Linked DNA regions of Tamandua tetradactyla. The protein of the gene in region 4 purifies or fractionates together with the protein of the main gene of each other region. This does not show direct contact. Links are inferred from orthologs where the notes say so. Each region holds a gene or a part of one and is shown on either strand. Other genes may lie near its edges. The genes, in order: ARCN1, COPE, COPG2 and COPB2.

Region 1 (7,212 bases), on a different chromosome or scaffold from region 4:
TGTTAACTCAAGAAAATTGTTTCCCTTTTTTGCTGTTCTCTAAACAACAATTAAAAGCAGATACGTCAAAAATACAATATCTATGGCAGATGCTATACTGACTATGAAAAGAAAAAAAAAATCTAGACAATAATAATAATACCCCAATCGGAAGGGATTTCAGTTTCTCCCCCATCATATATAAGATTAGCCATATAAGGTCCCAAACTAGCTTTCCAATAAAAAATGACTTCTTGGAAATGAATTTACTGTGCTGATTTACATCTAATGTGACTAAGTTTACTCATTGTCTATTCTTGGTAAGGAAAGAACAACGCTCTACAAACACGCAAAGATTTTACAGATAGGGGTTACTATGACAGACCCAATACCAAGTTTATGCATTAAAATGTAAGTTTATTAAGAAAAAGAGCTGACTATAACTACCTGATAAATGTTAAGAATATTTTCTCATTCATTTGCAGAAAGCTAGAAAAAAGATCAACTTAACAGATGCCATTTTTGGTACTTCATTTTATAATGAAGTCATCATAAGCCATTTGTTGCATTTGTTCATTAATCTTTTGGGACTATGTAGTCTAGGACATTCTGAGTTCACTTCAGTTACTAAAGACAAACGGAACACTTATTTTTCAAAAACAATTTTCATGTACTGACAGCTTTAATTTACTTGGTAATGATTAAAAAGATATTGAGAGATGGATGGATGAGTAGATGGGTGCTAAAACAAGTAGAGTAAAATGTTAATTATAGAATATAGCTATAATATATTCTATATATTACACAGTATGTAGAATATATTAATATATAGAATATAGCTGGTGGCTATATGGGTGTTCTTTCAACTTTTCTATATAGTTGAAAATCTTGACATTGTTGAGGGAAAAAAAAACTAGCATTTGGAAGTGTTTTATGTTCCCTCCCTGCTCTGGATGCATTGCAATCTTCTTTTTCTTCTCTCTTTATCTTTTATTTCCCACATTTATTTATTTTTTACATGGGGGGCACTGGGTCTCCAGCATAGCAGGCAAGAACTCTGCCACTGAACCACCATCGCCCGCCCACCACCTTTATTTTTAAACAACAGAAATTTATTGACTCACAGTTAAACTTTTAGAGGTTTTGATACAACTTTGCAATCAAAGAAGTCTTACATTAATACAAAATTTCACCCTATTTGGACATTTCTACTGTCCAGGGATCTTTTTGTAAAGGGGCTGGGAACCAAAATATTACACAGAAATAGTCCCTGTGTTTTAGGACTCTACAGAGCAAGCTGTCCTGAGATAAGTTGTTCTTCAGAGTTCACAAATCTGTGACTATCTGGATCATGCCAAGTCCATAATAATAATAATAATAATAATAATAAATATATATACACACACATAGACATAATATAACTGAGTGTATATATATATGCCCATATGGCAACATAACACAAGAATTTATACTTTATCATCACTTAATAAGGGCCTTACCATCTCTCTGTTATTGATGAATGAAAAACACTAAGTTCCAACTCGACAAAGTTTTACAGATTATCTGTATTTGGTTTATATAATACAATGCTTTAATTCTGCTGTTAAAATGATATGCTCTAAAATGCACTACAGATACTTACAGTGTGTAAAAAGAAAAGGGGTTTAAAAATCACTGTCCAAATACTGGGGCTCGTAACAGAACCGAAAAGACAAGTTTCTGGAAATGTTATGTCTAACACTAAGTTCTATGAGGCACAACTGCTTGATGCAATTTACATATCTGAAGCTAGAAAAAAACCTTTAAATGGTTTAAATCCCCCCATCCAAATTTACCTCTAAAAGGTTGTCAACCGAACTCAATACATTGGCACCAAATTACATTCTCATCTTTCAAGCATGCAGGAAGACATTTTAAATCAAATCATTAATCTATAAATTCTATTAAAAAGAAAAGAACATCCTTCAAAACAGTGAAAGGCATAAGGTGCCCTAAAAATATACTACCAGCTCCTTTTGAACAGGACAGTTTTTTCCTACTTCATGAACGTTTTACAAATCGGTAGTGATAAAGCAACATTTAGAGAAGTCAGCAGCAATTCCGTGTTTTGGCCTCACCTGCGTTAATTTTTACACAAAGATAACGCATCTGAAGGCAATGTAGAGGTCTCGGTGTATAACCCACCCCTTTTACCCCTCCTCCTAAGACACATCAGATTACGATACGCCAACACACATTTTACCTGACCTGAGCAATAAATTCCTTGAAAGACAAAAACCCTATCTTCTCTTTAACTCCCTCACATCTTCCCAATACAACGTACACTCATTCACACTGACAAATGGATACATGCAAGTACTAGAGTAGTAGTAGATTTCTATAAATCAGCGTTAGAAGTTACTCCTCACCGCTCTATGCCTCCATTTCCTCCTTCCGAACAAACAAAAGAAGTCCTGAACACCATGGATGTGGATTCCGAACAATACAGATCTACCAAACACCGAGAATGCGAGACGAGCTGAATACAAAAGGAAGGGAATTCCTTAAAAAGAAGTCCATTGCTGAACCTAAGTGCTCACAGAACCTGCTGGACACCAGGTCCGAGGTCCGCAGCACGAAATCGGCGACATCCTGGACCAAGTTCTAGTAGAACTAAGACCCCAGCCCCAGCCTTGTCCTAGAAGCCGGGTCCGTCAGAGGAGAGGTTCCGGACGCAGGGCACAGGGAGACCACACGACTCCCCTAGCCCAAAGGGAAAAGCTCGGCTCTAGGCCCTGGGGCGGGGCTCCTGTAGCCCCAGAATCAGGCCGTCCGGCAGGGAGAGGAGGCGACCTAAAGCCCGACCCCGGGACTTCGGGACCGGTTCGGATCTTACCATGGTGAGGCTGGTCGTGAGGGGCACTCGCGCTCTAGCTCCACTGGGGGTAGGGCTGGGGTCAGGGGAAGGGCAGCACCGGCCGCTCGGGACCTGCTGCCCCCCTGACAGGAGCCTATGCCGCTTTGCCTCCTGCCAAGATGGCGGCCCCAAGCCACGTCTCCAACCGGAAACGTCGCGGGTCAAAGGGCAGAGGGCGGGGCGCGGTGGAGTCGCGTGGGGAACTTTAGGGTACCGGGCTGCGTCTCCAATGCTAAGGATATGTGGCCAGGCTTTCCCTAAACGTGTAACCACGGACCTCTGTCTCTTCTCTCTTGATCCTCGTCCTTATTCTTTTTGCGTCATTTCTTACAGCTTATGAAGCTGTCCCACAGCCACTGTATCATGTAATATTCAAAAGAACCCGTGTGCCTAAGGGACTAGTACCCAGAATATATAAAGAACTCTTACAACTCAATAATAAAAAGATAAATAACGTAATTTTTAAATGAGCAAAGGATTTGAATAGATTTGTCTACAGAGAAGATACACAAATGACAACAAGACATGAAAAGATGCTCAACATCCGTAGTTGTTAGGGCAATGAAAATTAAAAACCAGGAGATACCACTTCACCCACTAGGATAGCTAGAATAAAAAAAGGATAATAACAAGTGTTGACAAGGCTGAGGAGAAATTGGAATCTTCATACACTGCTGGTGGTAATACAAAATACTGCAGCAGCTTTGGTAAACAGGTCAGCAATTCTGAAAAAGTTAAACAGATTTACCATATGACTTGGCAATTCCACTCTTAGGAATACACCCAACATAACTGAAAACATATGCCCACTCTAAATGAATGTTTATAGCAGTACTATAATGACCAAAAAGTGGAAACAATCCAAATGCCCATCAACTGATGAACAAAATGTTGTATATCCACAAAATGGGCTATTATTTACTCATAAAAGGGAATGAACATTACCTGCTACAGCATGGATGAACCTTGAACATATTATGCTAAGTGAAAGAAGCCAGGCACAAAAGGTTCCATCTTACATGGTTCCATTCACATAAAATGTCCAGACTAGGCAAATCCATAGAATCAGAAACTGTACTAGTGGTTACCAGGTGCTGGGAGGAGAGAAATAGGGAGTGAGTGCTCACGAGTGTAAGGTTTGTTTTTGGAGTGATGAAAATATTCTGGAATTAGAGAGTGGTGATGGTTGGACAACTTTGTGAACATAGTAAAAAACACTAACTTGCACACTTTAAAGGATGAATTTTATGATTTATGAATTATATCTTTAAAAAAACCTAAGTGCAGGTAGTAGAGCAGTTATTGTGCTTATTATGTCCATTTTGCAAATGAAGAAAATGAACTAAGTTTAAATGACTTACCGAGTTTCCAGTATATAATAGAATCAGGACTCAAAAAAACATCTTTCTGACTCTTGTTAGTTCTTCGACATCAAATGTCAGATTTCACAGAGTATATTTTATACTTAATTCAGTTCTTCATTTTATCCTATATACCCGGCTCAGTCTTACAGTACTCACCCATATTTTTTCAAAAATATTTTTATTGATACAGGGAGCATCAGCCACAAGATTTTCATAATCACATGGTCACACTGTAGAATCTATATAGTTACACAATCATCTTCAAGAACCAAAGCTACTGGAACACAGCTCAACAATATCAGGTACTTCCCTGTAGCCACTCCGATACACCATAAACTAAAAAGGGATATCTATATAATGCATAAGAATGACCTCCAGGATAACCTCTTGACTCTGTTTGAAATCACTATACTCACCCATATTAAACCTATATATGTCTGCAATAAAAGATAGCAATGATGTTTTATTGAGAGCTTATTTTGTGAGAGGCACTTTATTTTTTTAATTTTTTTTAACTTTTATTAATTAAAAAAATTAAACAAAACATTAAGATATCATTCCATTCTACATATACAATCAGTAATTCTTAATATCATCACATAGTTGCATATTCATCATTTCTTAGAACATTTGCATCGATTTAGAAAAAGAAATAAAAAGACAACAGAAAAAGAAATAAAACGATAACAGAGAAAAAAAGATTATACATACCATACCCCTTACCCCTCGCTTTCATTTACCACTAGCATTTCATGTGACAGGCACTTACATATGTTTTCTCTAATCCATTACAACCATCCAGGTAAGTACACTGAGAATAAAAGAAGTTAAGCAACTTGCTCAAACTCACAGTCAGCAAGTGGTAGAGCCAGGATTCAAACCCAGCTTTTCTCATTATCTCTCCTGCGTATACTTTTTTTTATAGAACACTCACTGCGCAGCAGGCATTACTCTAAATTCTCGACTCATTTAAGACTCACAATGATTCTCTTTGATAGGTACCATTATTAGCCCTCATTTTACAGGTGAGGAAATCAAGGTACAGAAAGGAAAATTATTTTACCAAAAGGTCTCCTGGCTAAAATGTAGCAAAGCCAGAATTTCCACAAAGGCTGCCTGACTCTAGAGCCTGTACAGTGCTAGACAATAGACTGCTCAGTCTTACCCATATCAATTCCAACTCAAAGGGCCTTCTAACATAAAAAAAAAAAAAGTAAAAATCCTCTTTGGAATTATTATCTTATTGTGGCAGATCCCAGAGACCTGCAAAATGGACCTCGGGAGCTCAGCAAAGACCAATTGGTGCCAATTCTTTGGAAACATGACATTTGTGAAATTAAAGTGCAGAAGAAAAAGTATCCCTGCCAGCATGCGTCATGAGGCATGGCTTAGAGGCAGTATACCATAATGGTTAAAAGCAGAGAATTAACAGTCAGACTGACCTGTGTTTGATTTCTATTTCAAGCACTTACAAGAAGGGTGACTCCAGGCAAATTAAACTCTCTCAGCCTCAGTTTCCTAATTTGTATACTGGTAATAGTATCTACCTCATAATTTTGTTAAATTAGATAATATATTAATAAATTAGACTATATATTCTAAGTGTTTCTACATAGTAAGTGCTCAACAATATGCAGTCATCATTAGTAGCAATAACAGATTGCATAAACCAAAATATTTTTCAGTTCCAGTATTAACTAGAAGACTCTCAAAACAGGCGTCTCTCATTTTCCTTTTTAAAGCTGCTTTTCTGCTTTCCCATGGGAGGTTTTCTGAGTTAAATTTCCAATATCCTCTTCTTTGTTTCTCTTTCCCTGGATTCCCAAATTAATTATGAGTCTAATTTTGAAATACTTCTTTCTTACGTCTTCATTCACTCCTTCCTTTATTCATCGACCCAACAAGCTTTAAAACGCCTAATTTATGCAATGCTCTGGAGCTATGAATAGTTCAAAATTTAATCAGACACAGACCGTACCTTAAAGTTTACCTAAATTCTGATTAGACTGATCTAGGAGGAATTACACGCCCAGCGACCCTGTCTAGGAAAAAACACGCAGTGTTTTCCAAATTGGAAGGCTGGCTCCTCATCAGACCGCTACGCCACGCACCGCCGCTAGATGCCCCCGCAGACGCATTTTCTAAAACCATAGAGAAACAGGCGACTTAGCTGCCCAGAGAGACTTTATTCGAGCCCTTCTAGGTCCTCCTTCCTGCGCACAAAGAGCCTTCGCTGGAAGGAGCGTGACGCGCGGGTGAGTGAAGGAGTTCTCACGAGAGCGAAAGCAAGTCTCGGGGTGCGTTTTTTTTGCCTAGCGACTGACGACAGGCGGGTCACTGCAAGTGGAAGCTCTTAAGTGGCCAGGTCTAAGATTGGAGTGAGCCCCAGTCCAAGACTGGGGTTCTTTCCATATAGAGGAGACGGATTCGGAGGGGCTACAGGTAATTCCTACTCACTTTAGCAGAAAGGGAACTACCTTCCTCTCTCCCAGAGGAATTCAAGAGGACTGTCCTTTCCCCTAGTCCCCGCTACCTCTCCCTGTCTCCATGACAGCAGTTCCTCACTCTCCCATCAACACCTTGCGTCCTTTACTACCCATTAAACTTAAGTGTGATCCAGCCTGCAAAACGGGTGGAGGATGGGGGTGATGCTTTTGGGATTATTGGATGGGACTGAGAGACTGGAGTTTACCCTCTCTTCACCTAGATATGACTCCAGAGATAGGTTTCTTTCTAAAATCTCTACAGCCTCCCTTGAGAAACCCCAGTAATCTTGGAGGAATTGACCGAACGGTTGCCTTTTGCATATATCTTGTAACTTTGGGTAACTGCTGCAGAAGTTGACTGTGTTTTTCCTGCTCAATTCCGTTTCTTCAGGCAGCCCACTGGCAGTTCCTAAATAAGGGTTGTGACAGTTTAACTTAATTGCTTGGGGCCATGAAGTCTTAAGGAAAGTTTGGCTGAGGGTGAAAG
Region 2 (7,633 bases), on a different chromosome or scaffold from region 4:
TGCCCTGCCCGCCCTCCCGCCCTCCCCCTCCCCCTCCCCCTCACCTGCACGGGCCGTCCGGCCAACTCTGTGGATGTAGATCTTGGGGAGCCCAGGGGTGTTGTGGTTTATGACAACCTGCACTGCGGGAATGTCGAGGCCCCTGCAAGCAGAGGGGGCTCAGATCGTTGGCCAGGTGAAGGGGCTGAGGTTGGGACGCACCCACGCTCACCCAGTGGGAAACTTAAGCCACCGACCCTGCCGTGGCCAGGCTGCCTGTCCTCAGGCCCTCAGGGATGCCACACACTGCCCTGGGGAAGGGGACCCCGGGGCCCTGGCCGCTCACCGGGAGGCCACATCCGTGGCAATCAGGATCTGGTAGATGCTGGACTTGAACTTGGCCAAGGCGGCGAAGCGTTCTTTCTGTGCCAGGTTGGGAAAGCAAGGGGGCTCAGGCCGCATCTCAGCACGGGGACAAGCTGGGTGTGGGTGGGCAGCGGGGAGAAGGGGCAGCAAGGATGGCTAAAAGCATGTTCCCAGCGGAGGGCATGGCCAGGGTGAAGTCCCCGTGGCTGGTGCGGGGCGCAGGGCCCGGCCTCACCTGCTTCATCATTGAGTGCAGGGCCACGGTGGGGAAGCCGAACTTGCGGAGCATCATGCACAGAACCTGGCAGGTCCTGGAGGTGAGGACACACCTGTCAGCCCCTCCCACCCCGTTCCCCCCAGAAGCCAAGCAGGGGGCCCCGCACAGCTCAGGAAGGGGGAGGGTGGCTGGTGCCGGAAGGTCTGCTGTCACCAAACTCTGCCACCCACAAGAAGGAGAGTCGGGAAACAGGCAGTGAGAGAGACCAGTCAGCATCATGTAAGCTGCTGGATCCCGCCGTACCTGACAGCCGCTCTCCAGCCAGCCCTTCACTTTTCTGGTAACTGATATATTTCCTTGGGAAACAGCCAGTTAGAAAGTCTGGCTCCCTGGCATAGGGTGGGGTAGCCAACCTGTCTCGTGCCAGACCAGCCTCTGGTAGGAGCCAATGTGAAGTAGTCTGAGAGGCCCACCAGCTAGGTACGGGCTGGACATCCGTGCATTAGTGACACCCTGGGCCATGGCAGCTTCCCCAGGGGGTTCGGGGCCTCAAGGGCTGCTTGGCAATAGAGCTGCAGAGGGGCTGAGGCATCAGCGGGGCCCAGCCTGCCCTGGGCTGGGTGACCCAGGTTCACGGCCCGACCCTGAGCTTTGCTTTCAGCCAACTGCCTCTATGTGCCCAGACTGTGCCCAGGCTCCCGGGACCTGCTGCCCAGCCCAGGGCTGTGGCCTTGGTGTGGCTGCTGGGGAGAGACCAGGGCGCTGGGGTCCCGAGGCCTGGGCGGGGCAGCCTGCTCACTTGCACGTGCGGGTGAAGATGACGATGGCCCAGTCCTTGTGTGCGTCATGGAAGGTCTGGACCAGGTGGACCAGGTAGGCGTCCTTGACCTTCTCGGGCACCAGCAGGTAGTGCTGCTCCAGCTGCTCCACCGTGCTGACCCTGGCATGGGCAGGGCCGTCGAGCTCAGTTTCTCTCCTGCCCAGCTCGGTCTACGGTTTTGGAACGCCCATGACCCCCCAACCATCCCTCCCACCCCGGGCCCCCGGGACGCACGGGGCCTGGGCCTCCCAGAAGAAGGGCTGGTTGGTGGCCAGGCCTTGCAGCTCCCGGAGCGTGTCGGTCAGCGTGGCGCTGAAAAGCAGCGTCTGCCGCCGGGCTGGCACTGCCCCGAGGATGGCCTCCAGGTCCACGGTGAAGTCGGTGCAGCCCTGCTCCAGCAGCCGGTCGGCCTCGTCCAGCACCTGCCCGGTAGATGGGGGTGAGGCCCATGAGCCAGGGCCGCCTGCCTCCTGGGAGCGCCCTCCTCACGCCAGTCTCAGCTGCGTGCGGCCCCGGCTGCTCGGTCCCCCAGGCTGCCCTCCTCTCAGTTCCTAACACTCTGCTGGGTGATCCATTGTTGCTGGGAGGGGGAGGGGGACGACACGGATCTGAGCCCCCCATGTGAAGGCTGAGCCCGGCCTGGGGCCGACGAGCCAGCTCACCAGGAAGCGGATCTTCTTGATGCTGAAGGTGCTGGAGCTGCGGAGGTGGTCGGCCAGGCGCCCTGGCGTGGCAATGACCACATGTGGCCTCCGGGAGAGCTCCAGGGCCTGGGCCACCATGTCTGTGGGCGGAGGAGGAGCGGGGGCTGGGTGGGGCTCTGAGGACGCTGGGGGTCCCAGGCCCGGAGACCCCCGGCACCCCCTTACCCATGCCACCGACGATGGTGCAGTCTTTCAGGCCCAGCGGCTTCCCCAGAACCCGGAACTGCTCAGCGATCTGGTAGGCCAGTTCCCTGTGGGTGCACAGGCACTGGACTGAGGCCAGCACAGCGCCCGCCCCTGCCGCCCGTCCCCACCCTATTCCAGGCCTCCTCCTGGCCTCCCAACTCATCCACACCAAGTCCCTTTAGCTCCCTCTAACTCCACCCAAACTGGCACCTGCCCCTACCCCAAACTTGCATCTGCTCCATGGTCCCCTTCTCAGTAATGGCCTCGCCAGTCACCCCCGCGCCCAAGCCAGAGAAACCTGAGCACCAGCCTCCTCTGCCCTGCCCAGTCCCCTCCTCCCTGCCCCAAAGTCCCAGCTCTACCCGGACCCCCTCCCTGGCTTGCGTCCTCTTCTCTGCTCACACCTCTCAAACAATTCGAAAGCCTTGGCCTGGCACTCAAGGCCATTCGTGAGCTGCCTCCACCACCTTTTTGTTATCTTTTCCTTACACCCCTGCATAGATACACTCGCGGTTTCTTTGGTCTACACTGCTTCATCCCCACGTGACCCTTTGGCATCCTTCACACAGAGCCTCCCGTGACCCCTCTCCTCAGATCCAATTAAATGCACACCGCCTGGCACTCAGCTTTCACTGCTTGTCACGGGACCTGTCCTTTTTTTTCGTGCCAGTCAATGGCTGGGTCGTACTGAACACTCTTATTTTTCACTGTATGGATCTCTGGACTTCTCTGCTGAGGCTCTGGGCTCGATGCCTGACCCCATTTTGCACATGGGAAAAGTGTGGCACAGAGCAGTGAAGGTATTTGTCCCAGAGAACACAGCGAGTTAATCACACCCAGGGTGTCCGTGGGGGGCTTACCTGGTGGGAGTCAGGACGAGGCAGAAGATGCCGTAGGGGTCCTCAGACAGCTTTTGCAAGATGGGCAGGACAAACGCTGCCGTCTTGCCGCTGCCTGTCTTGGCACAGCCCAGGCAGTCCCGACCTGGGCAGGGGAGGACAAAGCAGCAGCCACATGCTCCACAAACAGTTCCATGCGGCAGTTTAGGACAGCCGGCATTTAATAAGTAGTTACTGCAAACCCTGCTCCAGCCTGTATCCTTTAAGTTCCTGGCACGTGAGCAATCACCATATAAAGGAGAAACCATCACCAGTCCCATTAAATAGAGAGAGATGCTGAGTCTCATGGACTCGCCCAGGACAGAGCTGGTGACTAGAAGGACTGGAGAGAACTCATGTCCACCTGACCCAAGATGCTGTGCTGCTAGCCACCGCCTCATTCTCACTCGTCTGGAGCATCCGGGACTGGGAAATCTGGAATGCCCTCCCCCAACCTGCATCCTACACTCCACAGCGCTTCCTTCACTTTCCTTTTACGCAGGGCCTCAACTTGTTACACCCTAAAATATCCCCCCAAAGGAGCACTAGGCCTACACAAACAACTCTCATTTTTTAACAGGACACTGAGTAGAAAGACTGGGCTGAAAGCAGTAAAAAACTGAAATTCCCAGGACGTCTTAAATGGCAAAACAGAGTTAGGCAAGGAAAGTGGGGAGAAGGACGGTCAGGGGACCACGTGGTCCAGGATCCAGCACCAATTTTGACAGCCTCAGTTTCCTTTTTTGCAAAACAAAGACAGCAGGTCCCGCTCTGCCAAATCCCACAGTACTATTGACAAGTCACTCATCAAACCCGATCTGTGCTTCACATTTAGGAAAGTTCAGAGAGGTTAAGCCACTTGTCTGCAGACACGCAGAGACCGAATCGTGCAGTCTAAACGGTATCGCAGTCCTGGGTGCCTCCGGAGCTCAGGCTGGCCCGGCACGCTAAAGGCTGGTCCTCGCCTCGGGACCGGCCATAGGCAAAGGCTGCGAGAAGGGAAGGGGGGCGGAGAGAGGCGGAGGGTGAGGAGTACTCACCCTCCAGGATGGCGGGGATGCAGCCGAGCTGCACGGGCGTGGGCTGCTTCAAACCCAGCTGCCGACACTGTTCCACGAGCCACGAAGACAGCCCGAGTTGCGCGAAACCTGCCATCCTCGCCGCGAGCATGAACAGTGTGAGCCGCGCTTCCGGCGCGTGCCAATGGCGTCACGAGAACCTATTCGTTCATTGGTTACTCCTCCTTGGTGATCCCGCCCCCTTCAGCTTACTTGACCATTCCCGGCCTCCACCGCCTCTTTACCGCGTGTCCCCGAATGCCAGACCCCAGCTAAACTACAATTCCCGAGATGCCCTGCGAGAGGCCCTTGCGTCTTCCGCCCCCCCTACTTCGGCTTACGAGCCTCCCATTGGCTCAGAGCTCAGCCTCCCGGAACAAGGAAAACTACACTTCCCGGCGTGCTCCGCGGTGGGCGCTTGCTTCCGGCCGACGTGTCCCTCCGGAAGAGAAGCGAGTGAGACTAGGAGATGGCGCCCCCGGCTCCCGGCCCGGCCCCCGGCGGCCCGGGCGAGGTGGACGAGCTTTTTGACGTGAAGAACGCCTTCTACATCGGTAGCTACCAGCAGTGCATCAACGAGGCGCAGCGGGTGAAGGTGCGGCCGGGGCGTGGGTGATCGCGGGCCGCGCTCACTTCTCATAATTTCCCTTCGTCTCCTCGAGGCGGTTTCCCTCCGCTCGCCCCTTCAGAGCGCGCCGGGGCATTTCCGTTGTTCCGTCAGGAAACCCAAGGCGGCACCACTTCCTGTTCCTGAGCGCCCACTCTGCGCCCTGCAGGCGTTTGACTTAGGAGCAATGTGTAGCGCTCTAACGAGGGTCACGGTAAATAACAGTAGTAACAGCGTAACGAACCCTGAGTCCCTTTGCCGAGCGCCCGCTCAGTGCCCGCTGTGCGTTCACCACCTGTGAGGTGGGGATGTCTGTCCTCATTGTACAGTTGACAGCAGCGAGGCTCCGGAAGGAAAGTGGCTTTCCCGAAGCTATCCTGCCCGACTAGTCCGGTTGTTTCTCCCAAAACCCTCTCCTTCACTTGCTTGTTCACGCATTCATTCTTTATTGAGCATTTGTAGGTGTCTTAGTTTCCTTGGACTGCTGTAACAAAGTGCCACAAACTGGATGGCTTAAAACGACAAAGATTTATGAATTTATGAGGTCATAGTTCTGGAGACCAGAAGTCCGCAGTCAAGGTGTGGACAGGGCCGGGCTCTCTCTGAGGTCTGTAGGGGAACCTCTGTTCTGTGCCTGTCCCCTCGCTTCTGGTGGTGGCTTGCCAGCAATCCTTGGCATTCGTCCTCCTCTCTGTGTCAGATCCCCTCTTATGCAAACACCAGTCATGTGTACAGGCTTAGCTTAACTGTCTAATTCACCTATTACAACCTTATTTCTGAGTAAGATCACGTCCCAAGGTGCTCAGGGTTGGGACTTCAATATATCTCTTTGAAGGATGCCATTCAGTTGTGCAAGCATGGCTTGGTCACGGTGGAAGAAGCCAGCCTGGGCCTCTTTATTGTGATCCAAAATGGGGTGAATGAGGGGGAGGACAGAGAATGAGGTGGTTATAGCAGGAGTTTGCAGTTTTTTCTGAAGGCATGAGAGACTGCTGGAGCCCTAAGGCGACAGAGGGCTGAGGAGGAATTTGGACACTTGCCTTGTTTCTGGCACCTGATGGATTCACCTGGTTTCTCTGAGTCGGTGTCCTGGACCTTAGTAAGCTGTTAGGATTTGTGGAAACAACATTTGTGTAGTTGTTGTTCTGTGTTGCTGCTGAAGCAAATTCATACCAACTTAATGGCTTAGAATAGCACAAATGGAATATCTTACAATTTCCGTAGGTGAGACATCTGGCCTGGGTCTCACTGGGCTAAATCAAGGTGTAGACGGGGTATGTTCCTTTTTGGAGACTCTGGGGGAGAATCTGCTTCTAGGCTTGGGATGGTTATGTCAGTGTATCAATTTGGACAGGTTATGGTGCCCAGTTGTTTTGTCAATCAAGCACTGGCCTGATTGCTTCTGGGAGGGTATTTTCTGGATCTGAAGCATTAGACAGTTGATTGCATCTGCAGCTGATTGTGTCTACAATCAACAAAGGAGATTGCTTTCAGCAATGAGAGAAACCTCATCCAATCAGTTGAAGGCCTTGAAGGGAGAACTAACAGGATTTCTGCAGTCAGAAAGAAGAATTTCCACCTCTGCCTCAACCGGCTTCTCCAGGGAGTTCATGGAAATCTTCATTGCGTTCCCAGCTTGTGGCCTGCCCTATGGAACTCAGACTTGCTACCCTACAGCATGTTCCTGTCACGTATCTCTTAATATTTACATTTGTACTTATCCATCCTGTCAGTTCTGCTAGACCTCGGCTGACATGGGCTCGTTCAGGTTGATCCTTGTGGGACTGAGGTGTTTCCTGACTGCCATCAGCTGAGGCCACCCTCCTGCCACTCTCTGGTCCTCCCCCTCCATCTCAGATCCCACGATGATGCGGCAAATCCTTCTATGCTTGGAATCTCCTGACCTTTCCTCCTGCTGAATCCCTTCCGGGTCCCACTGAGCGAATTCCCTGTTGCACGTGTGGTCTGACGGGACCTCCCATGTGAACTGCAGAGCCCCTTCTGTGATGCGTCAGCTGCTTGCCGGTGCCAGGCTCGGGGTGCAGCTCTCTGGGGCCTTCTCTGGCCTCCCATCACCTCCCCTTCTGGGGCCTTCTCTGACCTCCCACCACCTCCCTCTGGGGCCTTCTCTGGCCTCTGGGGCCTTCTCTGAATCCCACCTCCCCGCAGTTTGGACGTGTTGGTTGTGTCTGTGTTCTGGGAGTGAAGCCCCATTGTAGACGTCATTTCCCCAGGACCCGGGCTCGCTGGCCCCTAGCTGTGGAACACAGGCTTCTGGGAGTAAGCATCGCCTGGCTGGTGCCTTGATTTTGGACGTCTCCTGACTCAAAACCGTGAGCCCGTAAATTCCTGCTGTTTAAGCTGGCCCAGTGTGGTGTTTGTTTTAGTAGCTGGGAAACAAGAACACGCCGTGATTGTGTTTGGCTCCCAGCCGGGAGCTTGTATTCCTCTCTGCTCTGCTCTCTCTGGGACGGGCCAAGCCCCTGTACTGCTTTGAGCCTCAGTTTCCCCTTCTGTCAGACGAGGTAATGGCACCTATATCTAGAGTTGTTTTGAGGTTCGGAGTCGCATTCAAGCTCACCTTCCAGGGCCCCCTCTGACATTGAAGTGAACTTGCCGTGCGAATCTTCTCACTTCATAACACGCAAACCTAATCTCAACCCCAAAGTGCAATGTCAGTGGGGCCCGTCCTGTGGGGAAGGGGCTGCAAATGCCCACTTCTCGCTGGTGGCTGCTGGTGGCTGGTCTCTGAGCCGCTGGCCTGCTCCATCATGGGGGGACACTGAAGACAGGTCAGCACAAACTGAGACCTCCCTGG
Region 3 (7,595 bases), on a different chromosome or scaffold from region 4:
CGATATATTTTATTTAAAAGCATGTGTTTATTTCTCAGTCTGCATTTGTAAACAGCAAACATTTATTAAATCTCTGGATGATGTCTTCAGTCATGATTCAGAGTAAAGATAAAATATTCACAATTCAAACTGGAAACCAGTCTTCTTAGTACAAATGTAAACCACTCAAGGTAAGTGGGTGTGCATGAATCTAAGAAACAAAATCACATTTCTAACTCCCTAGATATGTCATGAGATTTTATTAGCCTTAGGCAAAAAAGAAAAACATAAGAAAAATACAATTAATGACAATAATAGCAAGAAGAATCCAAATTCCATGAGAGCATATTTTGTCTGCTCCATGCTCAGTACCTAGAACAGTGCATAGGACATAGCAGGTATGCAATAAACATTTGCTGAATGACAGAATAAAAATTATTTCTGAATGCTTACTATGTGCTGAACTCTCAGTTCTTACATTTATAATTTCATTTAATCATTACAACTTCATAAAACAGGTATTGGCATGATCCCCATTTACAGAAGAGAAAATAAAAGGACAGTTAAGTTAGTTGCCCAGAATCATACTGCTAGTTAACAATTAAGTAGGAATAGTAAATACAAATCAAAATATTAAAATCAAATCAATGATTAAAATAAAAGCTATGGTCTAATCTACAAAAAAAAGAGTAAAGATATAAGTCTGGAATTTGTCTAAGACTTTGCACTTTATTTTTAGAGGTACATAAGGTACATGTTCTAACATTAACTAATACTTGTTAAATTCAAATCAATAAGCATTTATTGAGAACCTACTATATAGTTAGCTAGCTTAGTAGCTCACGAATACAAAACAAGTATATGTGATAGTCCCTGTCCTCGAGACATTTTACATATTAGTATGTTAATCAAATACTGTACTTTTAAAACTTAAATGAATTTTTAAAAAATAAATAATTATACTTTCCAGAAAGTAGTTCACTGCATGGCACATATTTTTACTCCAAGACACAAATCTGAGGAAAATGAAAATAATTTACCTGGTTGAGTAAGTAAAGAATCTTAGTAAGAATATGCAAACATCTTCTGGGATTGATCGGAGTTTCATTGAATATACGAGCCTATAAAACAAACATAAAAAACCAGCTTTAATAAAAGAGATTATATATAAAATATCACAATGTCCAAATAATGTCAATGGCTTACAGTTTTCAATTTATTATATTTTATTAAAATAAATTATTAGATAAATTATTAGATGTGATCCTCATTTTCCCATTTTATACCTTCTAATTCATTCTCTTAGGTCCACTACTTAATTTTGTGAGCTTTATCTCTTAAATAAGAATCACAAGGTTTATCTACATCATATGGCTACAAAAAGCTTAACACCTATAACTTCCTTTAATAACCTTGCACCAAACATCTCTCCTGACATTTTATTTAAAATTCCCAATGCATAGCAGAGCCTGCATGCCCGTGCATTTCTATAAGCTCTAGACTCTTCTATGGCAAGTAACCCCTCTTCCTTTTCCTTCAAGTCTCTAGTCTCTGAACTCAGTTATATTCCCTAATTCCATCTTATTTTGGATATCCTGATCACAACATCCCAGGGGTTATACGCCCACAATTCTAAGATAGAATATGTAAGAAAGAGCACAATGTAGTTCTAAGCCATACCTCCTGTAAGACAGCACTCTTCTCCAGATGCTGAAAAGGATTGGAGCTACTACCTACATTACAAAGAAAAAAAAAAGCCTTTAACTGTCCTACACAAACTTATTTACATTCAACAGAAGGTTATCTAGTACTTGGGAAATCGCACCTAAGTGAGGTGGCCACTTGGATATGGCAGTGGTCATTATAATATGAATACAAATTGGATAAAATTATTTTGATTCTTGCTTTAAGATATTGGACTTCTCTTTTGCAGCGTCTTCTTTTCCTCCCCTCTTTTTACATGAATGATACAAATATATGTCATCTCCACATAATATTAAGGATATTATAGTAAAGCACTTTGGTCTTCCTAAAGGCAAGCACTATTTTTTGTGCTTATAAAATTTACTGAGAGATAGAAATGAATAATCTAAGAGAGAATCACACAAACTTAAACCCTGGAAGGGATCATGAGGTTTACTGAGCCCTCCATCGTGTTTTGTGAGTGTGGCTATCAAGCACTGCATACTGGTTTTGGGATGACTTGGCATCTTCCCCACTTCCACTGGATCAAAGGCGGGTGGGTGTAAGTCCAAACTCACTTCTGGGAGTCAGAGCATGAAGTGAGCTATGTACCATGGGACTGTCTTGCCCCCTGGGAAGTAGACAGAGAGAATGTCCCAGGGAAGACTATAAGGTATGAAGCGCAACAAACTTCACATACACACTGTCCAGTCAATCCCAAACCCCAAAACGGGGCTCCCACTAACACCAGGAGCACCCACGGCCACTCAAAAGCGCACGCTCACACCTTCAGCCACCTGCCATGGGCCCGCCCCCTCTCCAGGCAACCCACGCCCCCGGAGCAGGGGGGAGGAGGCGCGGAGGGGCTACGCCGCCGACGGTTCGGCGCCCGGGGACAGGGCACCTGGGGCGGGAGGGGCCGCTGCGAACCCCCAAGCGGTGCACGGGTAGCAGCGCACGAGGTTGCGCCCGAGTGCCTGGGTCGCGAGCGCGCGACTCGGCCGCCCAAGGGGAGGCTCTGGGGCCCGGGGGAGGGGCTACTGGCAGGGTCCCCCCGCTGGAGCGTAGGGGAGGGGCTGGGCTCAAACTCCGGCCCCTCTCACACCGGTACCCGCGCCCCGCCCCCAGGTCCGCAGTCCCAAAAAGCAGGTGGCGGGAGGCGGAGAAAGGGGCCCTCCCGCAGGTGAGGGTGGCCGTAAAAAAGGCCAGCGCGTACCAGACTCCTCGTCCTTCTTGTCGAATTTTTTAATCATCTTGGACGACTTCCCAGCGCCCAGACCCACCACCACCGTTCAGGGCGCCGCAGCCGGCGAGCGGAAGAGGCTGCAGGAAGGCCGACCCCGGGCTCTCGAGCCTGTTGGGCTGCTTTCCCGTCACTCCGGTAGAAGGTCCGCCCTCCTACCCCGGCTGTCAGCGGCGGCTCTTCTCCCCGTTCCCCCGCGGCCACGCCCTCTGCTCCTTCCCTACCCGGGCGGAGGCGGTGCGAGGCGCTGGCGTTGCCGCCAGAGCCTGAGAGGTCGGAACGAGGTGCTTGCCAGCCCACTTTTACGCCCGGAGCAGGCAGGAATGTGATTTTATTTGATTGGCATGTACTCGATAGCAGACTTTGCCGGCCCCCTCAGTCTCCGGAGTGGGAGGTGGGAGGCTTGAAGAGTTTTTCACTTAACCACAGTGGCTGTTTTTATAATCCACTGCTGGACCCTTCCATTGAGGAAGGTGCTGTTTCCTGGCACAGTTCTAGTGGGCTTCTCTCCCAGGAGCGATGAAAGGGTTAGTGGTTCCCAAATCACCTTGGAAGTCGGTATTTCACTCACTGGCTTGGAAACTGCAATAAAGCACATGGCACCGTTAGGTGAAGGTGTGCTTCCGGAGGGTCTAGAGGGAATGTGAAGCGTGAAGAGACTTGGAAGGGCCAGAAAGCTGGTTTTTACTCTAAGCGAGCGGTAGATTTTGGACCTTTCCCAGTCTTTGTGAGTTTGGATTCCTAGCCCTCATCAAAACCTGATTTAAACATACTGCCAGTTTAGACTTCTTCTATTCCTCCCCTTTCAAATTATTCCATCTTCAACCATATTGCCGCGTAACTCTTAATTGGTTAACTTGCATTCACCTGTATATTCATGATCCACTGAGAATTTTACTAAAGTGTATGTTGGTTTCCAGTTCTTTGAGAGTGTAACTAAGAAACTTTTCCTGTCTTTAACTTCAATGGCATGACTTTTTATCCAGATTCTCTTTCAATTTTTGTGGATTCTTAGGAAGCTTTCACTGTGAGATTTTCTTTCTCCAGTCCCTCTCCACTTTTGTATGCATTATCTTTTTTTTTTTTTCACATGGTCAGGCACTGGGAAACGAATCCAGGTCTATGGCATGGCAGGCGAGAACTCAGGCGAGAACTCTGTCAGTAAGCCACCATAGCCTGCCCTGCATTATCTTTTAAATATCCCTTGAATCTGTTCCTTATCTCTACCACTATCATTATCACCTTAGTACAGATCCTCATCATCTATCTCTTGGACAACGTCCTCTCCAGCCTTTCTGGCCCCATCTAAACCATTCTCTATGTGTTCTTTAGTTGCATGCCTGGTAAACATGGAACATTATTAGGGGCAGGGATATGCTAGCAATCTCCTTTTCTAGAAGTAGAGACATTGGTCTCCACAAAGATTGTTTAGGAAAAGCACTATAATGGGTCCTTTAGGTATATGAGTGGAACAAGTATCCATTCATTTTTTCTTTAGGGTAACTGTAAAATTGCTATAAATCTAGTAGATGCTGCAGATTGAAATATTAAGTGTTCTATTTAGAATGTAAATTGGGTATGTCCGTAATAAGATTGTGTGCTTGCAAAAGTACATTCTTTCTCCCAAATATGGATTTAAGCTGAACTATTGATATCCTACATATAGTATCATCTAAGATTTAACTCATATTTTACCAAATGTGCTATCAACTAATATGTTTTTTCTTATCTAGCTTATGAAATCCAGATCATATTTTCCATGTAGAGTTTCCCTTGAAGGAAGTAGATATTCCCACTGTCATTTATTCTGGGGCTGAAAATAAAGAAACTATGGAGAAAGAGAGAATCTCTTTCTCTTTCTTGGGCAAAGGGTCTCAGGGACCTAGGCAGAGAGCGTCCACAAGCCAGGAGATTCCCAAGAACAAATAATATGCTGAAAGCATACTGGGAAATATTAAGGAACTGAGGTTAGGTTTGAGACCAAGCATAACGGTTGCCCCTTTAAGTGCAAGATAAATCGCTCACTACTGTTCTGTAACTTTCCCCTATACCCATGAAGTTTTGTGTAACAGAACAGCTTGGTTTTAGCTGTATAGGGGAGTTAAAAGAGGCAATGGGTGGGGTTGGAGTGCAGTGACAGATAGGCTCAGGAGGAGCAGAGAAACCTGAAGAAGCCAGTTAAGCAATGGTATGCTATGACTCAGACCTCTAGAACAGTGCTATTTAGCCTGAGAATAGCAGGAAAAGGTGTTAGGCAATCACTAGGATGGTTCTGAGGAACAAGTATACTTTAGGGAGTCTCAGAAATTACTTGAGAGACCCAGTAGGAGAAAATGAACCTTATTTTGAAGCCATAAGTTGATGAAGTTTAGGGACCCATCGGTTATACTTCTAATAAATGTGTATTCAGTACTCGGAAATCCTTCAGTGGGTTTCAATCGCCTACTGGATAAAACTCAAGCCTTTACTTATGTAATATACAAGGCCCTTCATCATCTGGTTTATCTGTCTCACGTATTGAAAATGCAATTATTGGTGCTTGGCAAGTATCCAACACCTAGTAGCTACCACCACCACCACCACCACCACCATTAACATTAATTTAATAATAATATGTGAGGAGCATTCTCTTTTCACCCTTTCTCACACAACCTTATTCCAAACCCTTTCTACCCTATGCCTTCATGCTACCTGGAAAAGACTGTGGCTCTCCAAGACTCGTACACTTATCCTTTGACCCTTCTAGTTCAGTTTCCCCCAAAGTGTAATATGCGTGGATGGTTTTAGGTGATACCTAGATAAACATTTTAAGGTATTATGAATTTGATTTAATGTGTGTCAAGAAAATTATATAATTAGTATATCAAATCTGTGATGTCAAAGATATGGTTTTGCTTAGGAAAAGAATCAAGAAAAAAAATCCTCTTAAAAAAATACTAATAATGGGACACATAATGCATTGATAAGGCAAAGCAAGCCTATCAAAATGATACATAATGTGGTTTGGTAAACACTTAAGTTCTTGAAACTTAAGAATATAAACAGAGTCCAAAGCCTAGCACCACTTGAGCCTCCATCAGGTCCTTGCTACAAGGGAAAACTAGTCTTCAGTATCACCATGCGATGATTTTTCTACATCTCCAGTCCCCATAGGTTCTACCTCCAGCCCACATCTCAAGTCAGAAAGCCATGCTTTACAAGAGAGGAACTTACCGTCTTTCCTCATATCCCTTTTAGAGACTGGAGCAAAGGTGAGCTGAGGGTACATATTTTTCTGTTTCCTCAAAGCATAGACCTTTGAATACTTCCCTTCACTCTTGAAATCATTGTCAGTGGAAAACCTTAACAAAGAAAGTTTGTTTAGTAGATCCTAGGGCAAGTTAATGGAACTAGTCACTTGAAAGTCAGCCACATTTTAAAAAATTCTGTGAGATAAGAAGGGACAATGACTAGAAGGTATTGATTGGAAGAGAGTTGGAGTATTGTTCAGTGGCAAGAGACGCTTCTGGAACCTAGCACTGTAAACCTTTGGATAAACTCTAGAACCTCCTCCCTTTTCTCCAAACTAAGTATAGTCTGCTCTGGTTTGCATTACTCTCTTTTATCAGAACATAAATGAGGTTGAGGCTCATGTAGGAAGCGATGTCTTATTGTTACACAGTCATACATATTCCCTACTTTCAAAAAGTGTTGAATGTACTGAAGAGAGTAACACAAATGAGGAAAAGATAGGAAAGAAAATGAGTACAAGAAGAACCAGGGTTTCACCTAAACCACTGTTCTCGCTTGGATGCAGAATTGTCCAACAGTGTCACCGGGAAGGTTGGTTTCAGCTCAGGTCTTGACTTTTTCTTTTGAGGCATCAGGGGCAGACAGAAGTTTTCAATGGGTTTGTGCTGATAATGACTTTCCTGCAGCAGAGGGAAGAACTGCAAGTGAGGGAGTTCCTGGACAAAGTTCCAATTCCCCTAAAATGATGCAGTAAAACCTGTCAGATAGTGAAGTGGAAACTCAGAAACTCATACGAGAAAAAGCCTCTTCTTGAGTGGCATAGTCCTGTCGGTTTCATTGTTAAATAACTTGTCCAAAGCGTGGCCAGTTTTCTAAGTAACTGACTGAACTTGCCCACTGGCCCTTTGTAGTGAATGGTATAGGAAGTTACCCTGTTTTTGAGGATTCAATTAATGAAAAATCAAATATTTGGTAATTAATTGGGCAATAGATCCATGGGGCTGTACATTCATTTCTCAGAATCAGCTGCCTCGTCACCATGCCACTCTCTGCCTGCAGTGAAAAGGCCATGGAATGGGATGTTTTTGTTTTGTTTTGCTATTTTATTAGAGAAGCTGTGGTTTTACAGAAAAATCATGCACAAAATACAGTGTTCCCATATACTACCCTATTATTAACATCTTGTATTGGTATGGTACATTTGTTTCAATTGATGAAAGCACATTTTTATAATTGTACTATTAACTATAGTCCATGGTTTAACTTAAGGTTCATTGTTTATGTTGTGACATCCCATGGACTTTTTTTTCAAAAAAATTATTCTAGTAACATATATACAACCCCAATTTTTCTCTTTTAACCACATTCAAATATACAATTCAGTGCTGTTAATTACATTCACATTGTTGATCTACCATCACCACCATCTATTACCAAAACTTTTCCATTACCCTGAATA
Region 4 (7,633 bases):
TACAATCTGGTGAGAAAGGTAAAAAAACTAGATAAATAATGCAACACAAGGCAGAATGTGGAAATGCCAAAAGAGGTAGCAAATGTCACAAATGTTTTAAAAGGGAAGCAAAAGAAAATTCAGATGGTTACATTAGTAAATGTGTCAGACTGAAGGTGACATTTCAATAAGATTTTAGTGACATGTAAGTGTCTGTATGTATAAGAGAGAGATTATAAGTAGCCTGATTATTTGTCTGCTTTTCTGATCAGAATCTAAGCTCTTTGAGGGCAAGATCAGTTTTGCTTTCATTTTACTGGGGATGGAAGTGGGGGTCTCCTAGTCAAAGGACGGCAAAGTCTCCGAGGTCAGAGAAGGCTGAAGGTGGGATGAACAGCTCATTTTGACAAGGGCTTACAGGTACGAGCTTCATTCAATACCTTCTTCCTTCCACCAAACAACCAGTTTTCAAATCGTTTTCATAATTACAACCATCTTGCTCTTCAATCTTACTGTCACTATCCCCAGCAGGGTTCTCATAGCTCCCAAACTGCCCCTTCCCCCAATTTCCATCTCCCAATCATCTAAGCAATCTTTCTCATGTGCCGGAGGACCCTTCCCAAAACACCTGAATCCTCTCTTGCTCAAACTCCCAAAGGTTTCATAGCAATCAAATAAAAATAACACTTCTTTCCTAATACGCAAGGTCCTGGACAATCTATTCCTAATTACCTTTCTAGATTTATCTCCCACCATACTCTTGGATAAATTTTAATCTCTAATCAAATTAAACTACTCAATATTCCTTGGTCCCTGAATATGCTGGGCCATTTCCTTCCTCTACACTTTATTCATTGTATTATTTCCACAAAGCAAATATCTGTCACAAATCATTAGCGATGCAAACGTAGACATCTCCCCAGGTTACAAAGAAAAGCAGCCTACTCTCCGTGAGGAGAGTAGAGGCCAGATGCACTAAGAAAGTCTTACGGCCTTGCTCATATTGTGCGTTCAACTCTAAATGCCTCTCACTGTTTCCATCTTCCAAAAACTGAATACATTCAGACTTAGCTTAAATGGCACTGCCACTAATAAGACCCTTCTGGTGACCTCAGCCAGAAGTATCCCTTCCTTACTTAACTTAAATTCCTACAGCATTTCATTTTGATCATTCATGGTACATTTGCGTACATGTTTCTTCTTGTTTACTACTCCAGACACTCCTTGAGGGCAGGGTCATTATGTAGACATGTCTTTTATCTCCACAGCACCATATATATTTGGTGGGATCTAGAAATCAGGTCTAGAAAATTACTCGGACCAGAAAGAAATTACAGTTTAGTGGGCATGTTTACTTAACCTTTCTCAAGTTTGACAGATGTAAATTAAGGCTATGCTATCATCTATTGCTTAGTGTTATGAGAATTAAATTAAATGTTAAGTACTTAGAACGTGCCTGGCCTGCAGTAAGTACTTAATAAACATTATTTATAATTCTATCTCTCAGTTGTTGTGAGATTAGGAAATATGGGCAAGTGTTTTGCACAGTAAATGCTCTATGGTAATGAACATTTTACATCTTTTACAAAAAAATTTGCAAATGTGTAAAGAATGAAAGAAATGCTCCTTCATTAAGAACATGCATCCTTAACTGTAAAGACTGCAAAAGAAACTACATCAGGCAGATCAAAGCTCCTTTTCTGAAAATGTCCATCATTGCAAGCATGGCAGACCCTAAACCACAGGTCATAGCAGTATGTAGTATCTTTAAGAGATTTGAGACCTCCTTCAGGGACTCTTAAACTGGGGACCCAAATAAGTTCATGGATGAGACTGGCGATGGGTGTCAATATGCTGCTGCCTGTGAGCCCACTGAAATAAATTCTAATGCAAGACTGGGTATGCTCCTTTAGGCACCTTCCTGGAAGTATCCATCACTTTTACCAGTTTCTTCAAGGGATCGATAATCCATACAAAAATGATAAGAATTTCTGCTCTAGTTCCAGCTAGGCTTCAATTAGCTAAACAAACTTAATTTTAGGTTGTTTTTTTAAAATGCAAGATGAAGGATTTGGATTCATTAATTCATAAGTTCTTCACACTCCAAAGTCTTTTGATGTTGTGCTTCAAAATGAGCAAAAAGATAGAAAACATTTAAATATAAATATAAAATCCTCTCTTAAGTTTTTTTTTTTTAAAGGGCATTATTTTCACACTACTGTTTTCCAATTAAAATACATAACGGACGCAGTGTTCCAAATTATTTTCGGTCATTTTCAATGGTGGGATGATAAGAAAAGTGCCGTCATGATTGCCATTCTTACCAGACACTGCTCTGCAAATGCAGAAATGTACACTAACCAATTTTACTCAAGACTCCAATCCTTTGCCCACTAGAAACCTCAGGGCTGGCACCCCAAAGCACTTAAAATTTCACTTTTAACTCCACACACACTTTAATTTTTTTTGCATCTCTCCTTAAGCTCGTAAGTTTGTGGAAGGCACACCTTATCCCAGAACAAACACAATTTGATTAGCGGTCTCCGTTTTAAGGGCATAGTAAGTAACTCTGTCAAAACCTCCTACGGAGTCCAACACCGTCTGCCTCTTAGATTCCACCGGACAGTGGACCCCGCTGACGACCGCGCGGTTCTAGGAAGCTCCGTAAGCACCGAGGGACTCAAGGATCCCTCGCTCGCAGCAGCAAACCACCGCGGCCTCCTGGGCCCCTCCGCCTCCCTCTCCGGGTTCAAGCTGCACCAGGACGTGGCAAGGCCGGAGGCAGCGGCGCGGCTGGAGACCGGGCCACTGCTCACTGCCGTCCCCAGTCCAGGAGCCCCGACACTCGGCCGCAGCCGGCGGGGCCCCGCTCCCACCTGCGGGGACCGGGCCTACCATGGCTCTCTCCGTCCGGCTCCGAGCGCCCTCGCCTGCGAACAGCTACTCCGGCTCGGCCAGACCCACCGACCCTCGTACCGGGAGACTGACTGACGTGGAACTTCCGGGAGGGAATTCTCGCGATAGTCAGAGGCCACGGCCGGGGCGCCTGCGCAGAGCCGTCGTTTCCCAAGCCGCGCCCCCGTTTCCTAGGCAATGCGGCCTTCTACGCGGGGGTGTGGCCTCGGCCCCAGAGGGAGGCGGCCCTGGGGTCCTCAGTGTGGCCAAGTCCTCCTGAATCGGGAGGTGCGGGAGAGAGAAAAACGCAGTGCTCAACCCCTGTCGGACGCTAAGGGCAGGGAAACCCCGCAAGCTGAGAGGCTGAGGAGCCGTGGGGCGGCCCCTGATGCCGTCTGTGAGGAGGAGAAAGGGAGAGGGACACGAGGGCGCTCTGCGCGCCCGGGCCGGACACTGACCCGGCCGGCATCCCGCCGAGCCGAAGAGCCTTCCGCCCTGGAGCTCCCCAGGGGGCAGGGACACGCCGCGCTGGACCCGATGCCCATTTATTGAGCCCTGACGGTTACTTCTTCCACATGTTCTTCTCCGTCTTGCGTTGTGTGCCCGACGAGCTTTCCTCCCAAACCCGAGACCCGAAGAAGTGAAATGCCCCACATAGTAAGAAGTAGAGTCAGGATTCTGAACCCAGGGCTGTAGAAAGGTCCTCCACGTCCCGTGCGGCTTCTCGGACGTCAGAAAGCATCTCCCGGGAAGACAGTTGAACCCGGAACGCGGACCTGGGCCCCCGGCGCTACGGCGTGAAGTGCGGGGCCTCTGCCAACCCCCCTCATCCCCCTCGGCTGGCTTTTCTTTTCTTTTTTTCTCAAACAGTAAAACTCGCCTCCGGCGACATATAAATGTGGTCTTAAAACTCGCTTTACAGTTTTTAAGACTTCCGGATTTTCAAGAAGGGAAAAAAAGTGTGCATATGTGTTTCTGTGTAGAGTGATATTCAGAGATCAGGTTATCTGGCTTCCGACCTTTGCCACTGGTTAGTCGTGTCACTTCTTTCTGGGCCTCTGTTTTCCTCATTAAGGAAAACAAACAAACAGCTTGGATGATTAAGAATTATCCATGGGGTGCACGGGGGTTCAGTGGGAGAATGAATGCCCGCGGTCCATACCGGAGACCCGGTTCGATTCCCGACCATGCACCCCACCCCCCCAAAAAAAAATCCATTTAAAAATTATTCCATTTTTACCATCCTGTGTCTCTGTGACATTCAATAGTAGAAAAAAGAACGGATCCTGTACCTGGTTTTAGGGCAAGCAGTGTGATCCCGTGATGTATAAATTGTGACTAATAATGACATACTTTGCCTACTCCATGGAGCAGTTGATGATCACAAGAGCTCGTTGAAAAATTAACAGATATGAACTGTATCTGATTTGCTTGAATGTTGGAGGCTTTCAATATGTCTGATTCCTGGATACTCTATATTTGAGGACGTATCTTCAAACTGTGTATTACTTAATACAGTAATATAGAATAAAATGATATACCATCTCTGTTGTGTCAGTTTGAATCTGTGGTGGATCCCAGAAAAGCATGTCCTTTAATCCTCATTCAATATTGCTGGGTAGAAGCATTTTGATGGTTCCCACGGAGCTGTGACCCACCCAATTGTAGGTAGTAACTTTTGATTAGATGATTTCCATGGAGGTGTGTCTCCACTCACTGAAGGTGGAGTTGCTTACTGGAATTCTTTAAAAGAGGAAACATTTTGGAGACAGTCCCTTTTGTAGAGCCATAAGAAAACCAGGAGACACTGCAATGTTCGCCATGTGCCCTTCCAGCTGAGAGAGAAACGTTGAACTTCATCAGCCTTCTTGAACCAAGGTATCTTTCCCTGGATGCCTTTGATTGGACATTTCTATAGACTTGTTTTAATTGGGACATTTTCTCAGCCTTAGAACTATACACTAGCAAATTATTAAATTCCTCTTTTTAAAAGGCATTCTGTTTCTGGTATTTTGCATTCTGGCAGCTAGCAGACTAGAACATCTGTTCTCAAGGTTGGGGATTATTAAATCCTTACATATTGTTAGGCATCCAAGGATTAATCTAACTGGCGTAGAGGTAGGGGCTGGGTTGCCAAGTATTATTCTCACTTTGTATCTTTCCTCATTTTTCCCACTGTAATTATCCAATATTAATTCTGCAATTGTAGGCTATAAATTCATTCTTCATTCTTTCACCCCTTACACACTGAATTTTCACTGTATACAAAGCACTATATAATAAGTGCTTAAGATAATATCCAGAAAAATTTGGTTTTGGGGTTTGGTTGAAAGAAATTTCTTTTTAAAGAAATAATATTCTCAAACATAATCTAATACATAAATATATCTCTTTTTGCTCGAGTTTAAAGTAAATTAAATCTTTTGCTTACTCTCTGGTTTAGAGGAGACTGGAAGGTTGGAAAAATAGCTCTGGGAAAGGAAGGAAATATGGACAAGTTTAGCAAATTGTAGAAGTTTAGCAAATTGTTAAAGGGTTTTCCAAGAGGTTGATTGCAATTGATCAACAGACCTCAAAGCCCTACCTTGTCAATCTCTGAGATGGCTGTTTCAACTCTGTGTTTGTGCTGCTGCTGGACGAATTCCAAGTGGAAGTTCAGCCAGCAGTGATTCTTATTGTACTCTGGGATATCCTTCCTTCTTATCCTATTCACACCCCTTTGTAAGAAGTTGAAAAAGTGAAAATAATTCCTTGAGGAAGAATCAATTAGCCTTGCTTAGCCTTGTCACTTAGCAAAGTGTCAAGTAGAAGCATGAAGAACTGACTTTCTCCCCTCCTACGTGTTATAATCTATAAGCAGAAAGGGTCAATTATGTACAAATACTGAATACCAGGCAGAATATGGGTACCCTGAGAGGATGTCCCAATAAATACCGTGGTAGGGGGGATAACAGGTTTCATAAAGGAGGCAGAATTTGAGCTGGATATTGAGGTGAAGAATGTATGGTGTGTTTAAGGACCAGAAAAGGTCCAGTTTGCTTGGAGAATGGCTTTCATTTAGAACAGCAGTGAATGAGATTGGGCTAGAACCTGCAGAGTTTTGAATGATAGGAGGAATTAGATTTTGATGGCTTTGATTCAGTAAGCAATTAGGAACCATTGGGCTAGAAAAGAAACTTGTTCATATCCAGGTTCTAGGAGATTCAGCTTTTGTTGATGTGTATGGTCCCCTGGAAGAAATGGATTGGGACAGTGAGGGACTACAAGTTTTGGGGAGGTAGGTATGGAAATAACAGTAATAATGAGTAACTTTGAGTGTCCACTATGTATCCGACATTGGGATATGCACTTTGCATACTGCAAACCTTTTGATGATCCTAATGATAGGTGTTATTTTATCCAACTTATAGATGAGAAACTGAGGCTCAGATGATTTAAGTAATATGCTCCATGTTACACTGTTTGAGAATGAGGGACAAAATTGAGATGGACTCAAGTCTATTGCCAAAACTAATGCTCTTTTTTTCTAGACCGTGATTTCTTCCTTTTTCCCTGAGAAGCTAGAATCAATAGGATATACAAATGACTTGTTCGTTGTGAGGTAAGGGAGAAGCATCCAAATGCTGATGTTTTGAATCTAATGAAACCAGAGGAATATCCTTTTTTTATTTTTGCATGGGCAGGCACCGGGAATTGAACCTGGGTCTCTGGCATGGCAGGTGAAAATTCTGCCACTGAGCCACCATCACACTGCCCAGGAATATCTTTAATTAGAGAATGGGTGGAAGAAATGGTGCCAGTAAATGACATAAAGAAGGAACGCTCAAAGTGGGAATACCAGGGAAACTCTCTGCCACGGATATACAGGGAAGTCAGAACATAGAGCTATTAGCAGTGTTAATGGCTGTAGAGAACTCAAGGAGGCTTAGCATTTGGAAAAATATTGCCAGTGAATTAAATGATTAGGGCACTGGTAGCCTTCAAAACATTTCAGCTGAGTACTGCTAAGAGAAGCAAGTTTCTAAGAAATTATTGGATGATAAAGAAATGGAAGTGATGAATATGCCTCATTTTTACCGAAAGATTAGTGTTGAAGGGCAAATGCTGATGTTAGCAATGTTGCACTGAAAGTGGATTAATTTGCTGCCTGCCAGAATGCCATATACCAGAAATGGAACAGCTTTTATAATGGGGAATTTAATAAGCTACAAGTTTACATTCTAAGGAAGTGAGAGTATCCAAATTAAGGCACCAACAAGAGGTTACCTTCACTCAAAAAAGGCCGATGGGTCAGGAGCACCTCTGTCAGCTGGGTAGTCACGTGGCTGGCATCTGTTGGTGCCTGGCTCCTGGGCTCCACTGCTTTCAGCCTTTGTTCCTGTGGGGGCTCCTCACTTTGCTTTTAGGGGGCTGGCTTTAATCTCTTGGCTTCCCTTAGCTCTCTCCAGGTTCTGGCTTGCTTCACATCTCATGGCAACATCTCAGCTCCGAGCATCTCCAAATATCTGTGTCTCTGTTCTCTCTGCTGTGAAGTTTCTGTTGGGTCTGAGGCTTCTGTCATTTCTCACTCTCTCCAAAATGTTTCCTCTTTTAAAGGATTCCAGTCTTAATCTAAAGACCCACCTGGAAGGGGTGGAGTCACATCTCCATCTAATCAACGGTCATACCCATAATTGGTGCATCCTATCTTCATGGGGATAATCTACTCAAAAGTTTCCACTTCCAATTTTGGATCAGGATTAAAAGAAACGGCTGCCTC

Evidence for each region.
Region 1: the proteins of COPB2 (region 4) and ARCN1 fractionate together in Homo sapiens (co-fractionation; 5 studies listed by BioGRID and IntAct, with this or other methods). This does not show direct contact. The link is inferred for Tamandua tetradactyla from reciprocal best matches to the Homo sapiens genes COPB2 and ARCN1.
Region 2: the proteins of COPB2 (region 4) and COPE purify together in Homo sapiens (affinity purification with mass spectrometry; 4 studies listed by BioGRID and IntAct, with this or other methods). This does not show direct contact. The link is inferred for Tamandua tetradactyla from reciprocal best matches to the Homo sapiens genes COPB2 and COPE.
Region 3: the proteins of COPB2 (region 4) and COPG2 fractionate together in Homo sapiens (co-fractionation; 4 studies listed by BioGRID and IntAct, with this or other methods). This does not show direct contact. The link is inferred for Tamandua tetradactyla from reciprocal best matches to the Homo sapiens genes COPB2 and COPG2.

What each region holds. Positions count from the first base shown.
Region 1 is NC_135334.1:22,115,463-22,122,674, forward strand, and holds the start of ARCN1 (coatomer subunit delta), read right to left. Parts: upstream 3,016-7,212; 5' UTR 2,858-3,015; coding exon 2,855-2,857; intron 2,498-2,854; exon of another isoform or gene 2,388-2,497; intron 1-2,387. UniProt on the Homo sapiens protein: Component of the coatomer, a cytosolic protein complex that binds to dilysine motifs and reversibly associates with Golgi non-clathrin-coated vesicles, which further mediate biosynthetic protein transport from the ER, via the Golgi up to the trans Golgi network.
Region 2 is NC_135337.1:95,906,336-95,913,968, forward strand, and holds the start of COPE (coatomer subunit epsilon), read left to right. Parts: upstream 1-4,616; 5' UTR 4,617-4,677; coding exon 4,678-4,803; exon of another isoform or gene 4,804-4,919; intron 4,920-7,633. Other genes in the region: putative ATP-dependent RNA helicase DDX49, read right to left, coding at 45-142, 326-402, 581-656, 1,362-1,502, 1,617-1,804, 2,045-2,166, 2,252-2,337, 3,133-3,256 and 1 more. UniProt on the Homo sapiens protein: The coatomer is a cytosolic protein complex that binds to dilysine motifs and reversibly associates with Golgi non-clathrin-coated vesicles, which further mediate biosynthetic protein transport from the ER, via the Golgi up to the trans Golgi network.
Region 3 is NC_135327.1:172,420,646-172,428,240, forward strand, and holds the start of COPG2 (coatomer subunit gamma-2), read right to left. Parts: upstream 3,007-7,595; 5' UTR 2,916-3,006; coding exon 2,879-2,915; intron 1,713-2,878; coding exon 1,660-1,712; intron 1,101-1,659; coding exon 1,020-1,100; intron 1-1,019. Other genes in the region: TSGA13 (testis-specific gene 13 protein), read right to left, coding at 3,321-3,487, 6,119-6,246, 6,674-6,873. UniProt on the Homo sapiens protein: The coatomer is a cytosolic protein complex that binds to dilysine motifs and reversibly associates with Golgi non-clathrin-coated vesicles, which further mediate biosynthetic protein transport from the ER, via the Golgi up to the trans Golgi network.
Region 4 is NC_135341.1:83,463,110-83,470,742, forward strand, and holds the start of COPB2 (coatomer subunit beta'), read right to left. Parts: upstream 3,009-7,633; 5' UTR 2,878-3,008; coding exon 2,875-2,877; intron 1-2,874. UniProt on the Homo sapiens protein: The coatomer is a cytosolic protein complex that binds to dilysine motifs and reversibly associates with Golgi non-clathrin-coated vesicles, which further mediate biosynthetic protein transport from the ER, via the Golgi up to the trans Golgi network.